Stegostoma tigrinum: one gene and its partner. The protein of the gene in region 1 interacts with the protein of each later gene in a pairwise test. Links are inferred from orthologs where the notes say so. Each region holds a gene or a part of one and is shown on either strand. Other genes may lie near its edges.

What was found.
Region 2: the proteins of kifc3 (region 1) and deuterosome assembly protein 1-like interact in binary tests that used the Homo sapiens proteins (3 or more experiments, as listed by UniProt). The two-hybrid records come from large-scale screens. The link is inferred for Stegostoma tigrinum from reciprocal best matches to the Homo sapiens genes KIFC3 and DEUP1.

What each region holds. Positions count from the first base shown.
Region 1 is NC_081369.1:11,092,505-11,099,974, forward strand, and holds the start of kifc3 (kinesin-like protein KIFC3), read right to left. Parts: upstream 3,106-7,470; 5' UTR 2,999-3,105; intron 2,570-2,998; exon of another isoform or gene 2,437-2,569; intron 1-2,436. UniProt on the Homo sapiens protein: Minus-end microtubule-dependent motor protein. Involved in apically targeted transport. Required for zonula adherens maintenance.
Region 2 is NC_081359.1:48,534,176-48,542,253, forward strand, and holds the start of deuterosome assembly protein 1-like, read right to left. Parts: upstream 3,023-8,078; 5' UTR 2,996-3,022; intron 1-2,995. Other genes in the region: neutral amino acid uniporter 4-like, read left to right, coding at 3,467-3,488. UniProt on the Homo sapiens protein: Key structural component of the deuterosome, a structure that promotes de novo centriole amplification in multiciliated cells.

The DNA.
Region 1 (7,470 bases):
AATAACAAATTGCCACAGTGCTGCAGAAATTCCAGCAAGCAATCCCGAGAAACCAGAATCAAGTGCACGCAGCACATGGTACAAGTGGCCAGTGCAGGATTTTGAACATAACGCAGCAACTTCCGTTCAGTCAATTTAAACAATCACTGTACTGGCAACCAGATTGCTCCCTGTTTCAGAGGTAGTGGGAACTGCAGATGCTGGAGAATCGGAAGTGACAAGGTGTAGAGCTGGATGAACACAGCAGGCCAAGCAGCAGAGGAGCAAGAAAGCCGACGTTTTGGGCCTAGACCCTGCTTGGCAGGTTTGAACACAAGCCTGGGAAGTAACATCAACAATACTGCAGTTATTCTGCTTTGTCATCTTACCCAGCATAGCATCTTCAAGCCATACGTAAACCAAATGTCTGCCTCTCTCTCTGCAATGAATGCTTATGGTATAAATACCACGGACTCCAGCTCCTTACTGACATTTTGTAGCATGCACACCAACAGCAAATGTGTTACCCTTTAATGAGTCAAAACGTTTCAGTGTTGCTACTGCCAACCAACTGCACCTGAGAACAACTCATAATTCCTGCTTTATAAATCAATCACTCTGTGCCCGAGGTGCCTGCAGCATTACCCCAGTGAAGCAATACCAACAAGAACAGGCTGAAGAAATTTGGGGCTTTTCCAGTCTCAGTTGGAGATGATCAGGCTGAATAGGGTAAAACAGAGGACAGAGAGTGAAGCTTTATTGAATGTAGTTATAAACTACACAGGTGTTGTCAACCAGGTCAGGAGACTGCTCTAGGATCAACTGTAGCACATGTACCACTGGGATGTCATATTTCCACATGTGCTAAAACATATTCCAGCAACTCAGGGCTGTAAAGTGAGCACTATAACTTAGATTTGATCTATCACCGCATGGAACTCTTCCCTTTGCCAAACCACAGAATGTTATTACATCACAAGCGTCAGCAGCATTTTAACTGTTTAAAAGGAGGAAAAAAGAATTTGACCCATGAGACAAGAAATCAGGAAATCACCCAAACCCAAACTTTGGCCAGGATGGTACCCTCATTTCTGAGAGATGAAATGCCTCCACCCAGTTACATAGTCAGAGATGAGTGGGTTTCTCAGCACAACATACACAGGGTAAAGGCTTCACCATTTTGAACTCCTGGTAAAAGGAGGCACTAGCTGTGCATGATGGTTTTTAGTTTCAATACAGTGAAGATGAAGAGAGGAAGAACTTTGTGGAACTAGGCACAACTGAAGTTGAGGAGAAATAAAAGGGCAATTCAGCTGAGCAATGAACACAGCTACACGTATTTAAATGCAGTCAGGTTAGGGGGCATGATGATTTTGGATGTACCCGGTTATCTCTGAAACTAGCTAACACAACTGTTTTGGCAAAGGGAGTGTTGAATAGAAATTGACCAACATTGTCCCATTTGTCCCCACTGCATATTTCCCTCAGTACAAAGGTAACAATCAATGCTAGAAGGGAGGTGGTGTGGAGTTGGTTTGTACGTAACCCCGTGGTTGCTGAATACCTGGTTGCCCCAGGAAGACTCCCAGATACCTGCTACACCTGAAAGGCTTCCTTAGCAAACACCGTCTCATCCCACAGTCCCAGGATACTGATACCATCGCCCCAGAGGTGAAACAGTACCTCCCACACTAACCAACATAACATGACAAGGTCAAGAGCAGGCACAGCACTTTTTCTGCTCAATCTAGCCAACCCCAAAACCAAATAATAAACTGATCAAAACCTTTAAACTCATTACTCTGTGTAACAGGTTTAATTGTGACAAGAAATATCTTCATGCAGCAGCAATAAGATGACCAAAAAAGTTTAATTCACATAAATATATAAATATCAAGCCCATTCTGCCTATTTCTCATTTGAATAAGATCATAGCTGATCTGTACCTCAATACTATTTACTACCATTTGATCAATTACCTTTGATATGCCAGAAATGCAGGAGAGGGATCTGCCATGATTTTCCACCACAGACAAAGAAAAGTAGCAAATTCAAGGGCTAGTTAATAGTACATGCACTAGACCCCACATTCCAGGCTCAAATTCAAGGAGGCCCATTGGAATGCTGGAAGGGTCACATTGTGCATTGCAGTGGAATTGTACAGGTGCACATAATGACACTAGGAGGATGCTGTTGCCAGGGAAACAGCCTGTACAGTAGCCTGAGCGAAAACACCATCTCCTAACCTTACTTACAATCTACAGAAAGAATTCGAGCCATGGAAAATACCTTCACTTAGTAATTAAAAAAACATCAAAACGCAAGCTTAATAAACTAAAATTGCAGAAACAGAATTCATTCAGACTAATGCCTACCAGCTGGTGTTAGTCCACAGAGCTGCAATGCAGGGTTAGCTCGCAGCTGGGCTACTCATGGGTTAAATCCGCACCTCGGACAGAACGGAACCAGCCGGCTGAACGGAGTCGCCAGGCCGATGGTTAAGGCTCTCGCCCTGAGAGAATGCAAGAGGGGGAAACCGGTGACTTGTGTGTTATAACGTCGTGCTGCTGAAAGCAACAACGTCCTTCTGGTGAGAATGACCTGGCTCTCTCTCTCGCTCTCTCTGGTCAGGTGCTCCTGATTCAATCTGTGTTGACAAATGATTTTCTCCCACCCACCCCCGTCTTTGGCTAACGCAGCTGCTTTCTCCGCTGCCGTGTTTTCATGTTTGGCACCTGGAGACCACTGCAGGGCTTTAAAAACAAACAGCACTCTCCCTCTGGTCTCCTATCAGACAGGAGAGGCACCCCCGCTGTGACCCAAAACGCCCAGTCCACCCCGGCTGCCGCTGAAGCTCAGCCTAGGTATAACGCCCCCCCCCCAACGACGCTGCAGACAGGGGTAGATCCCTACCGACCACATTCCATCAAATAGGTGTCTTGTAGCCTGCACCGCCCCTTATCCGATGTGAGGATGATAATGCACTTCTCCCTGTTCAGGAAATTAGCATTATACTCACCAAGCACACCGCGCCCGAGCCTAGCTCAGGCTGGAAGCGACCCTCCCGCAACGGCCACCGCTGCTCCCCGGGTCCCAGAGCCGAGCCGAGCCGAACAGGACTGCCGCAGAATCTGTCAGCTAGACTCAACCAATCAGGCTCAGGCTCCTGCCCGGCACCGACCAATCAATGGCGACGCATTCAGCGAGTAGGCGGGTCGCTGATAAAACGGGAAAAGTTTCAGGAATTCGAAATTAAACATGGAAAAGATAGGGACAGTCATAACACATAGTAATAGGACAAAGGGAAAATTAATGATGTAGGTATTGGGGAAATTCAAAGGTAATAATGTTGGCCCAGGAAGAATACAAGCGGAGATTAGAAAAAGTACTAAAATAGTAAACACTGATGCGTGCAAACATACAAACGAGGAGCAGGACTAGGCCATTCTGCGCTTCGAGCTCGCCCCAAAGTTTGGCAAATCTGATTACTCCACATTCCCCCCTATCCCCAATAATTTGTTACTCCTTTGTTTAACAGGAATCCATCTAATTCTGCAACTGGAAGGGCAACAATCCAGGCACAAGGCCAACGCAAAGGCTTGGAAAATAATGTATTGCATTAGGGCAGGGAGAAGAATATTGGATAAACAAAGCAGGGTACGGCTGCAGAAGTTATGGGGCTGGAATAAGGATAAACTGTAAGCCACATGCTGAAGTTCAGAGAAAGACACATTTACTGGAACAGGACTAAGCACAGTGGACATAGCCCAAAGCCTGGAGAGGGTAAATAAACTGGCACTTTCTTCTTTTGTTCTTCCCAACATTTATGTATATCATTGTAAACACTGTCTCCCTGCTTGCTGGATTTTCAATGAAACCAAGATGCATAGCATCTACCCAACCTTAGTTCAGCCAGACCCAGCTACTACCTCAATCATTGTAGAATCCATAGATTTTAAACCTGAAGTTGTAACTGTATGCCATTAGCAATTTACTTCTGTTCCCCCATTTCCAGTTCCACAATCAGTACCAACTTAGGAGTGACTGACTTTAAAAAGAGCACTACTGACAATGGTGTCAATGAGAAAATCGAGGCTTGGGCGACTCGTAAAAGCTCAATTCCCCTGTAATCCTGCAAATTCTGTGCTGATGCTCTGGTCAGGTAACTCACCAGGAAATATTGATGCCAAGGAAACAAATTAACTTACAATTAATGCAAATAAAGTATCTTAATGTTTTAGAGGTATGAAACAAGCATTCTCTTGAAGGCACAAATGCTTGTATGCCATAATTAGCCATTACCAGCATTGGGCCATGCGAAAGCTCGATCAGATTCCTTTTCTTTCTCGTCTCAGGAGGCAGTTGGATGGCCCATTGTTCTCTCTTCTCCATTCTCACAACAGAAATGAGCTAAGAGGTAACACAGTGTGGAGCTGGGAGAACACAGCAGGCCAGGCAGCATCAGAGAAGCAGGAAAACTGATGTTTTAGGTTGGGACCCTTCTTCAGAAATCTTCCTCTGAAGAAGGGTCCCGACCCGAAACGTCAGCTTTCCTGCTCCTCTGATGCTGCGTGGCCTGCTGTGTTCTCCCAGCTCCACACTGTGTTATCTTTGACTCCAGCATCAGCAGATCTTACTATCTCAGAAATGAGCTAAGTTGTTTAGTACACAGCAAACAATCACAGTTCTGTCTGGCGAATTCCAGAGTGCGCCCTCTGATCATCCAGGCAGAGACAAATCCAACCCGGCCAATTACCACCCCATCAGTCTCCGCTCGATTGTCGGTAAACTGATGGAAGCTGTCACCAACAGTGCTAACAAGCAATACCTGCTCAGAAATAACCTGCTCAGTGACGGCCAGTTTGAGTTACACTAAGGTCACTCAGCTCCTGATCTCATTACAGCCTTGGTTCCAACATGGACAAAAGAGCTGAATTCTAGAGGTGAGGTGAGAGTGACAGCCCTTGATATCAAGGCTGCATTTGACTGAGTATGGCATCAAGGAGCCCTGGCAAAACTGGAATTAATGGGTATCACGGGCAAACGTTCCAGTAGTTGGAGTCGTACCTGACACATAGGAAATGGTTGTGGTTGTGGTTGTAGGAGGTCAATAATCTCAGCTCCAGGACATCTCTGCAGGCTCTCCTCAAGGTAGTGTCCTAGGCTCAACCATCTTCAGCTGCTTCATCAATGACCTTCCCTCCATGAGAAAGTCAGAAATGGGGATGTTCGCCAATGATTGCATAATGTTCAGCACCATTCGTGACTCCTCAGCTATACTGAAGCAGTCCGTGTTCACATGCAACAAGATCTGGACAATATCCAGGCTTGGGCTGACAAGTGGCAAGTGACATTTGTGTCACAGAACTGCCAGGCTATGACCATCACCAATAAGAGACAATCTAACCATCACCCCTTGACATTCAATGGTGTTACCATCACTGAATCCCCCACTATCAACATCCTGGGGGTTACCATTGATCAGAAACTCAACTGGACTCACCACATTGACAGATTAGCTACAATAGCAGGCCAAAAGCTGGGAATACTGCAGCATGTAACTCACCTCCTGACTCCTCAAAGCCTGCCCACCATCTACAAGACACAAGTCAGGAATGTGATGGAATACTCCCCACTTGCCTGGAAGAGTGTAGCCCCAACAAGACTCAAAAAGCTTGACACCATCCATGACAAAGCAGATCACTTGATTGACATCATATCCACAAGCATTCACTCCCTCCACCACTGATGCTCAGTAGCAGCAGTGTGTACCGTCTACAAGATGCACTACAGAAATTCACCAAAATCCTCAGACAGCACCTTCCAAATCCACGACCACTTCTATCTAGTTGGACAAGGGCAGCAGATATATGGGAACACCACCACCTCCACGTTCCCCTCCAAGCCACTCACCATCCTGACTTGGAAATATATCACCGTTCCTTCGGTGTCACTGGGTCCAAATCCTAGAATTCCCTCCCTAACAGCATTGTGGGTCAACCCACAGCAGGTGGACTGCAGCAGTCCAAGAAGGCAGCTCACCACCACCTTCTCAAGGGCAACTGGGGATGGTCAATAAACGTTGGCAAGCCAGCGATGCCCACATCCCACAAAATGAATAGAAAAAAAAACATTATGATAAAAGGTATTAGGTTTGTATGTTTGTATTAATGTCATTTTCAGAGTTTCAGTTTTCAAATTGTGGCATATGGGGTTGATTACTGAAGGGTTTAAAAAATAACTCAGTCAGATCTAATCCAATATGTGCAAGAGAGCAAGGATGCCCCGGAGCATAATGATCGATTGTTTTTATGACAGATGGGTAAATATTGAAGGCCATTAGCTTGTTTTGGGTTCAAGATAATCAAGGATTGATTTTAGCTTAGAAAACTCAGAGATTGAAAGCTTTGAGTGCTATTTGAAGGAGACCTGAAGCAAATATAGTTTTTCTCCTCAAAATGAGTATAAGACTGTTCATGGAAAGCACAGTTACCTCTGTATAAAAATCATTTTGTGAAACGAGTAAACCAGCAGTGTTTCTTGATAAATGTGCAGATTATTCAAAGCTGAGAAATCTAAGCTCTCAGTTCTGTGAATATTCATATAAGATTACTTAACAATTCACAGGAAGAGACTGAGGAGAATGAGTTAAGTCAAGCTTAAAGATTTGATATAGAGAGATAATTTCTCTGGATTTGAGTCTCTATAACAGGTGTGTTAAGAAACAGGATGAGAATCGGTTTTGCTGTGTGTTTTAAGATCTTTCAAGCTGCGTTCTAATTTTTGCTTGGTTTCTTTTGTGTTCTTCTGATGAAGAAAGGCTGCAGTTTTATGTGACCAAATTTCAATGACTGTGCACCACATTAACCAAAATAAAGAAAGTGTGACCTATCAAACATGATTGTATCCCAGATTTAACTTGTCCATCTTGGATCACAGCATTTTCAGATATTAATTGTCTATTAGAAGAATGCCCTCGTGAATGCATGGATGGCATTGTAGCCCTGCTTAGCATCAGTCTGAGAGTTTCATATTAGGGTCATTAGAAGTACCTCTGGGGGAACCACATAATGCAGCTGTGGAGATGATATTGAGAAGTGAACATTTGAGGAACCTGGGAGTTGTGTGGAATGTAAATACTTTGACAGTTCCCTGGATAGCAGGTATACACCTGCAGGAACTGTTGCCTGTGGTCACAAAAGAGCTGGACTTTGAGGGAGTGAATCCTTCCTGTTTAGGAATGTGGCTGGACATTGCGATGGATGTAGATGATAGTATCTCCAATGATGCAACATCTCCTGCAATGCCCTTCACTCATCTACATGTAACTTCAACATCTTCAATGAATCCTGTCTTGGCACACTGCTCAATGGGTGCTGAAGACCCTCGTTCCCATCATCAGGTGCTGCTTTTTTGTCTACAACTGCAGCCCCTGAGCCTTGTTTCCCTGGTCCATCTTTGAAGCAAGTACTTTCCTTCGTTGTTAAACCT
Region 2 (8,078 bases), on another chromosome or scaffold:
CTGTTGCCCCACTTTTGACGTGAAATGGCTTCTTGGTAGTTTAGAGTAAGTGTAAATGTATTTTGAATAGATGGAATGTCTGGTATTTCTGTAAATGAATATTAATTGAAGTTGGAAACAGCATGAACTGTAGATGATGGAGTCAGAGACAGCAGTGTGGAGCTGGAGGAACACAGCAGGCCAGGCAGCATCAGAGGAGCAGGAAAGTTGATGGGACTCTTCTTCAGAAATGGGTTTATTGTGAAGAAGGGTCCTGACCCGGAACATCAATTTTCCTGCTTCTTAATTGAAATTGGATGTCTTGGTATCTGGAAAGGCTCCGTGATGTCTGGATTAAGTTGGTTTCTTAGGTCTAGTGAATTATTCTTTTAGGGTTGAGGTGTGAATTAGATTTTGTAATTGAACAATAGTTCCAGGCAGCTGTCTCTGTTACTGTGTATTTGCTCAGAGCATAGCCTAGCTGCCTTTTTATTTAATTTTTAAAGCCCAGGGTTTTAGTCCGGTATTTTAAATGATAAGGATTTTCGCTCAATCCTACAGGCAATGACAAGATAGATGAAGGGGAGCCAGTACACATAATCTGTTTTTGAATTTCCAGATGATTTTGGACAATGTGTTACACAGATGGCTGATAAATAACATGAGAGGCTATTGTGTGTGGGATGAGGTACTGGCATGGATTGAGGATTGGCTAACTGGCAGAAGGCTGAGTTTAAAGTTGTCTTTTTCAGGGTAGCAGCTGGTGACTAGTGCAGTTCCACAGGATTCAGTGTCAGGACCGCAGCTATTCAAATTAATCATTGCTGATCTGAACAAAGGAGCTGCAGGAATTGGTGTTAAGTTTGCTAATGACACAAAGATAGACAGAAGGACAGGTCCTGTCTCTAAGGAAAGATGTGCTGATGTTGGAGGGGGTCAGAGGAGGCTTACAAGAATGAACAAAAACAGAAGTTGAATGAAAAGCTCAGCAGATCTGGCAGCATCTGCGAAGAAAAAATTAGGAGTTAACATTTTGGGTCCAGTGATCCTTCCTCACAACTTAAAAAAAATTCTTGTGTTTTTGAACTGTTGCCTGAAGAAATGGGCACGGAGCTGAAGACAGCGAAAGAACAGTTCGGCATTATGTCATATCTGAAATTTGTTCAGGTAGGGACGCAGAGGAATAAGGCTGAGGCTGTTGCTGAGTACAGAACATTCACCATCAGAGAGCAGAAGGTTAAGAGGGATGGTGAATAGCTGACAGGAGGTGGACTTGGAAGAGGGAATGGAATCGGAGGGGAGGAAGGGAGAGGAAGGTTCCAGAGAGCCATGGGTAGCTTTGAGAAGTTGCATCTTGTGGACCTTGATGCCTGAAAGGAAAAGAAAATGTTTCATGTTAGCACGGCGAATGAGCTGGAGGATGAAATGAAACTGTAGAGTGGTGCAGCTCTGAGCCAGCATGTTGTGACGCTATTGGAGAGAAATATTGAGTCTGAGCATGTGACGCCACATGGCAGAGAGAGTGGATCTCAGGATGTGGCAAGAGTAATTGTCCGTGGAACATTGAACATCATGGAGATAACTGTGATTCTGGGAGAATTCAAAACATGAGGGATGAAAATTCAGTTAGAATCCACAAGGGGTGAGTTAAGCCTGAGGCAGTCACTGAGGAATGTGATATGGCTGTGGAAACGAGTTTTAGCAAATACTTGGTTAAACACTGCGAGTGACAATTAATGTCGGTGGGCAAGAAGATGGAAATGGAAATCCCGTTGGAAAGAGGAGCAAAACTTCTTCAAGGTGGGCATGCCTAGCAGAGATGTAATAGTGAGTTAAATACTAGATTAGATTCCCTACAGTGTGGAAACAGGCTCTTTGGCCCAACGAGTACACACCGCTCCTTGAAACATCCTACCCAGAACCATGCCCCTATAACCCACACACCCCTGAACACTATGGGCAATTTAGCATGGCCAATCCACCTAACCTGCACATCTTTGGACTGTGGGTGGAGACCTGAGCACCTGGAGGAAGCCCACGCAGACATGGGGAGAACGTGCAAACTCCACACAGACGGGAGGCAGGAATCGAACCCGGGTCCCTGGCGCTGTGAGGCTGCATTGCTAACCACTGAGCCACCGTGTCACCCATGACCTGAACAAAACTGAAAGAACTGTGGATGCTGTAAATCAGGAACAAAAATAGAAGTTGCTGGAAAAGCTCAGCAGGTCTGGCAGATGAAAAAAAATGAGTTAATGTTTCAGGTCCGGTGACCCTGAGAACAATGATGATCCTGGGCATGAAGGATTGTCATATATGGAGCAGTTAAGGATTGTGGTTCTGTACTCGGTTGAGTTATTGAGTCGTAGATGTCTACGGCACTTCAGCCCATTTTGTCCATGCTGCTCATCCAGGATGAGGAAGAGATCTCATTGAAACTTACAGAATACTGACAGGCCTGCATAGAGTGGATGCAGAGATGACGTTTCCACCAGTAGAGGAGACAGGGAACTGAGGGTGCAGCTTAAAAGTGAAGGGAGGACCCTTGAGAACTGAGTTGAGGAGGAATTTCTTCAGATAGAAGTGGTGAATCTGTGGAATTGGTTGCTGCAGAATGCTGTGATAACCAAGTCATTGAGTGTATTTAAGACAAAGATAGGTTTTTGATTAGGAAGGGGATCAAAGGTTACAGGGGGAAGGCAAGAGAATATAATTGAGAAACATATTGGCCTTAATCGAATGGCAGAGCTGACTTGATGATCTGAATGAACGAATTCTTCTCCGATATTTATCGGGCAATTAAAGCCATAAAACTGCCGCAAACACATTCCAAAGGTCTGGTGTAAAATAACTAAATTAATTGGAATATCAAATAACAGTGGCCAGACAAGTGAATCAGGAAATTAAAACGAAGGGAAGAAAATCTGTGTGGAAAATGCATGGGCCCAGTCTGCCAGAAAGAAAATACTGAATTTAAATATTTCCTGGGCAGGCAGTCAAGAGAGTTTACACTTACTTTCTAAAGAGCGCACATTTTGCTTGAGGCAGGCTCGGCGCGCACGCAGTCTGGGCTCGGAAGGGAGGGGAGGAGATTGCACATGCGCTCTCTCTTGGTTATGACATCTGTGGTTTGGGGACGTGCTGGGGTCTGAGTTCTCATGGTGTGACTGTGTTGGTATCTGTGTTTCACCAATGACCGACTCATGCTGCAGTTAAAACTGGCCGTTGACAGGGTGGGCATTCCCGAGAAACTAACGCCGGGGAAGATCGACGCTATCTCTGTGGACTTGTAGTTTTTTAATTTGCCTCTTCCAAGGGCTTAATGTTTCCTGCGAAGTGGGAGGATAAAACATCAGAATCACGTTTAATTCGAGCAGCGGCCTGTCAAAATTTATATTTGATTTTCTTTTTTGTTGCTTCGAATTGGTTTGAATCAAGGAAATCCGTTGTAGGAGGAGGCGGCGTGTGACGTGGCGCAGCAATTGACATGGAGCACGGGGAGGAAATAGGTAATTGGGCAATCGGAATTACGGGGGCTGGAACTGAGGCCATGGGACTGGGTGGGGAATGATGGCTGTGATAATGGGAACTGCAGATGCTGGAGAATCCAAGATAATGAAATGTGAGGCTGGATGAACACAGCAGGCCCAGCAGCACTCAGGAGCACAAAAGTTGACGTTTCGGGCCTAGACCCTTCATCAGAGAGGGGGATGGGGTGAAGGTTCTGGAATAAATAGCGGGGGGGGAGGCGGACCGAAGATGGAGAGAAAAGAAGATAGGTGGGGAGGTAGGGAGGGGATAGGTTAGTCCAGGGAAGACGGACAGGTCAAGGAGGTGGGATGAGGTTAGTAAGTAGGAGATGGAGGTGCGGCTTGGAGTGGGAGGAAGGGATAGGTGAGAGGAAGAACAGGTTAGGGAGGCAGAGACAGGTTGGACTGGTTTTGGGATGTAGTGGGTGGAGGGCAAGAGCTGGGCTTGTTGTGTGGTGCATTGGGGGGGAAGGGATGAACTGGGCTGGTTTTGGGATGCGGTGGGGGAAGGGGAGATTTTGAAGCTGGTGAAGTCCACATTGATACCATTGGGCTGCAGGGTTCCCAAGCGGAATATGAGTTGCTGTTCCTGCAACCTTCGGGTGGCATCATTGTGGCACTGCAGGAGGCCCATGATGGACATGTCATCTAAAGAATGGGAGGGGGAGTGGAAATGGTTTGCGACTGGGAGGTGCAGTTGTTTATTGCGAACCGAGTGGAGGTGTTCTGCAAAGCGGTCTCCAAGCCTCCGCTTAGTTTCCCCAATGTAGAGGAAGCCACACCAGGTACAGTGGATGCAGTATACCACATTGGCAGATGTGCAAGTGAACCTCTGCTTAATGTGGAAAGTCATCTTGGAGCCTGGGATAGCGGTGAGGGAGGAGGTGTGGGGACAAGTGTAGCATTTCCTGTGGTTGCAGGGGAAGGTGCCGGGTGTGGTGGGGTTGGAGGGCAGTGTGGAGCGAACAAGGGAGTCACGGAGCGAGTGGTCTCTCCGGAAAGCAGACAGGGGTGGGGATGGAAAAATGTCTTGGGTGGTGGGGTCGGATTGTAGATGGCGCAAGTGTCAGAGGATGATGCGTTGTATCTGGAGGTTGGTGGGGTGGTGTGAGAGAACGAGGGAGATCCTCTTTGGGCGGTTGTGGCAGGGGTGGGGTGTGAGGGATGTGTTGCGGGAGACGCGGTCAAGGGCGTTCTCGATCACTGTGGGGGGAAAGTTGCGGTCCTTGAAGAACTTGGACATCTGGGATGTGCGGGAGTGGAATGCCTCATCGTGGGAGCAGATGCGGCGGAGGCGGAGGAATTGGGAATGGGGGATGGAATTTTTGCAGGAGGGTGGGTGGGAGGAGGTGTATTCTGGGTAGCTGTGGGAGTCGGTGGGCTTGAAATGGACATCAGTTACAAGCTGGTTGCCTGAGATGGAGACTGAGAGATCCAGGAAGGTGAGGGATGTGCTGGAGATGGCCAGGTGAACCGAAGGTTGGGGTGGAAGGTGTTGGTGAAGTGGATGAACTGTTCAAGCTCTTCTGGGGAGCAAGAGGTGGCGCCGATACAGTCATCAATGTAGCGGAGGAAGAGGTGGGGTTTGGTGCCTGTGTAGGTTCGGAAGAGGGACTGTTCCACGTAACCTGCAAAGAGGCAGGCATAGCTGGGGCCCATGCGGGTGCCCATGGCCACCCCCTTAGTCTGTAGGAAGTTGGAGGAATTCCCAGGCCCCAAGATGACTTTCCACATTAAGCAGAGGTTCACCTGCATATCTGCCAATGTGGTATACTGCATCCACTGTACCCGGTGTGGCTTCCTCTACATTGGGGAAACCAAGCGGAGGCTTGGGGACCGCTTTGCAGAACACCTCTGCTCGGTTCGCAATAAACAACTGCACCTCCCAGTCGCAAACCATTTCCACTCCCCCCTCCCATTTTTTAGATGACATGTCCATCATGGGCCTCCTGCAGTGCCACAATGATGCCACCCGAAGGTTGCAGGAACAGCAACTCATATTCCGCTTGGGAACCCTGCAGCCCAATGGTATCAATGTGGACTTCACCAGCTTCAAAATCTCCCCTTCCCCACTGCATCCCAAAACCAGCCCAGTTCGTCCCCTCCCCCCACTGCATCCCAAAACCAGTCCAACCTGTCTCTGCCTCCCTAACCTGTTCTTCCTCTCACCCATCCCTTCCTCCCACTCCAAGCCGCACCTCCATCTCCTACCTACTAACCTCATCCCACCTCCTTGACCTGTCCGTCTTCCCTGGATTGACCTATCCCCTCCCTATCTCCCCACCTATACTCTCCTCTCCACGTATCTTCTTTTCTCTCCATCTTCGGTCCGCCTCCCCCTCTCTCCCTATTTATTCCAGAACCCTCACCCCATCCCCCTCTCTGATGGGTCTAGGCCCGAAATGCCAGCTTTTGTGCTCCTGAGATGCTGCGGGGAATGATGACTGCTGCCTTCCCGTTATGATATATCACTACATAACTCATGGTTAATGCATCAAAAATCAGCCGATCGGCTCAGTTCATTAGCAAGTAAACGCACAGTTGCTGTGATTATGAGGAGAGAAGTAACATCCCATGAAAATGTTGTTGTTTATAAAGAAACTAACAATATTTAGACGTGGGAAAGTTTCATTTTTTTGGTTAGAGACTAGTTTTTTAATTACTTGCACTGTGCCTGACACTTACTGTGAATGAATGAATGTATCTAGTATGTTAAAGGCATCTGGGTACATGAATAGAAGGGTTTTGAGGGATACGGGCAAAATGCTGACAAATGGGACTCGGTCAGTTTAAGATATCTGGTTGGCATAGACGAGTTGGACCGAACACTTTCTTTCCATGTTGTATAACTGAGATAATTTGGTGAATGCAGAACATTTTGTTCATATATTAGAAGCAAAGTTTAACAACAATGTCTGGTTGGCATGGATGAGTTGGACTGAAGGCTCTGCTTCCATGCTGTATAACTCTGACTCTCTTGCAGTTAACTTGTTGAATGTAGAACGTTTCATTCATGTATTAAAAGCAAAATTTGACACCAGCAATGAACGAATACTCCCTTGGTCAGTCTATATTCTTGTCTTATGTGGCTGTGGTCAGATAAGACAATCAGATGTGTCTTAAATAAGTGTTTTTGTGAAGATATATGGTCAAACAATTTGTCTTCAGAGATAATGGTAACTGCAGATGCTGGAGAATCTGAGATAAAGTGTGGAGCTGGATGAACACAGCAGGTCAAGCAGCATCTTAGGAGCACAAAAGCTGACGTTTTGGGCCTTAAACAATTTGTCTTAGCTATTTTGTAAAATATTCAATTCAAAATGTAATGTGATGCTGGGCAAGTTGTTGGAAGGACTCCTGAGGAACAGGATTTTCATGTTCCTGTATATGGAAAGGCAAGGACTGATTAGGGATAGTCAACGTAGTTTTGTGTGTGGGAAACTGTGTCTCACGAACTTTACTTCTTCAAAAAACTTTAATTTAATGAAGAGGATTGAATAGGGTAGAGTGGTGGTCTTCAGTACGAAGTTTGACAAAGTTCCTTTATGGTAGCCTGGTTAGCAAGGTTACATTGTATGGAATATGAGCAGAACCAGCCATTTGGATACAGAAGTGGCTCGAGGTAGAAGACCGAAAATGGTGGTGGAAGGTTACTTTTCAGCCTGGAGGCCTGTGTATCTCGAAGGGTGCCTTTGTGGACACTTACCTGAAGAACGGAAGCTGAATGACCTTGACTGTTGAAGTGTTCCCCAACTAGGAGGGAACATTCCTGTCTGACAATTGTTGTGCGGTGTCCATTCACCCATTTTTTTTTTGTAGCATCTGCATGGTCTCGCCAATCGGGCATCCTTGCCTGCAGCATGTAAGTCAATAACATTGGCCAAGTCATATGAGTATCTGCTCTGTATGTGCTGGGTGGTGTTTCCACATGTGATAGTATCCATGCCAATGGTCTGACATGCCTTGTAGAGGTTGTGTATTACTATAGAGTCCTACAGCATGGAGACAGGCCCTTTGGCTCAAACTGGTCCATGCCAACCAAAATGTCCATCCATGCTAACCCCATTTTCCTGCACTTGGCCCACATCCTCCGAAACCTTTCCTATCCATGTGTTCGTCCAAATGCCTTTTCAGTATTGTTAATGTAGCCACCTGTACCACATCTGGCAGCTCATTCCATAAGTGTACCACCCTCTGTGTAAAACAAAAAAAGTTGCCCCTCAGGTTCTCATGTATTCTTTCCCCTCTTATGTTAAACTGATGCCCTCTGGTCCTGAATTCCTCAGCCTTGGGAAAAAGACTGAGTGCGTTCAACCTATTGTGCTTCTCATAATCTTATACAATTCTGTAAGATCCCCCCCCCTCAGCCCCCTAAGCTCGAAAGAAAGAAGTCCTAGCTTGTCCAACCTCTCCCTGTAACTCAGCCCCTTGAGTCCTGGCAAAATCCCTGTATGTTTCTTCTGCACTCTTTTTCCAGTTTAATAACATCCTTCCTGAGGCAAGGTGACAAAACTGAACACGATATCCCAAGTGTGGCCGCACCAACGTCCTGTACAGCGGCAACGAAAC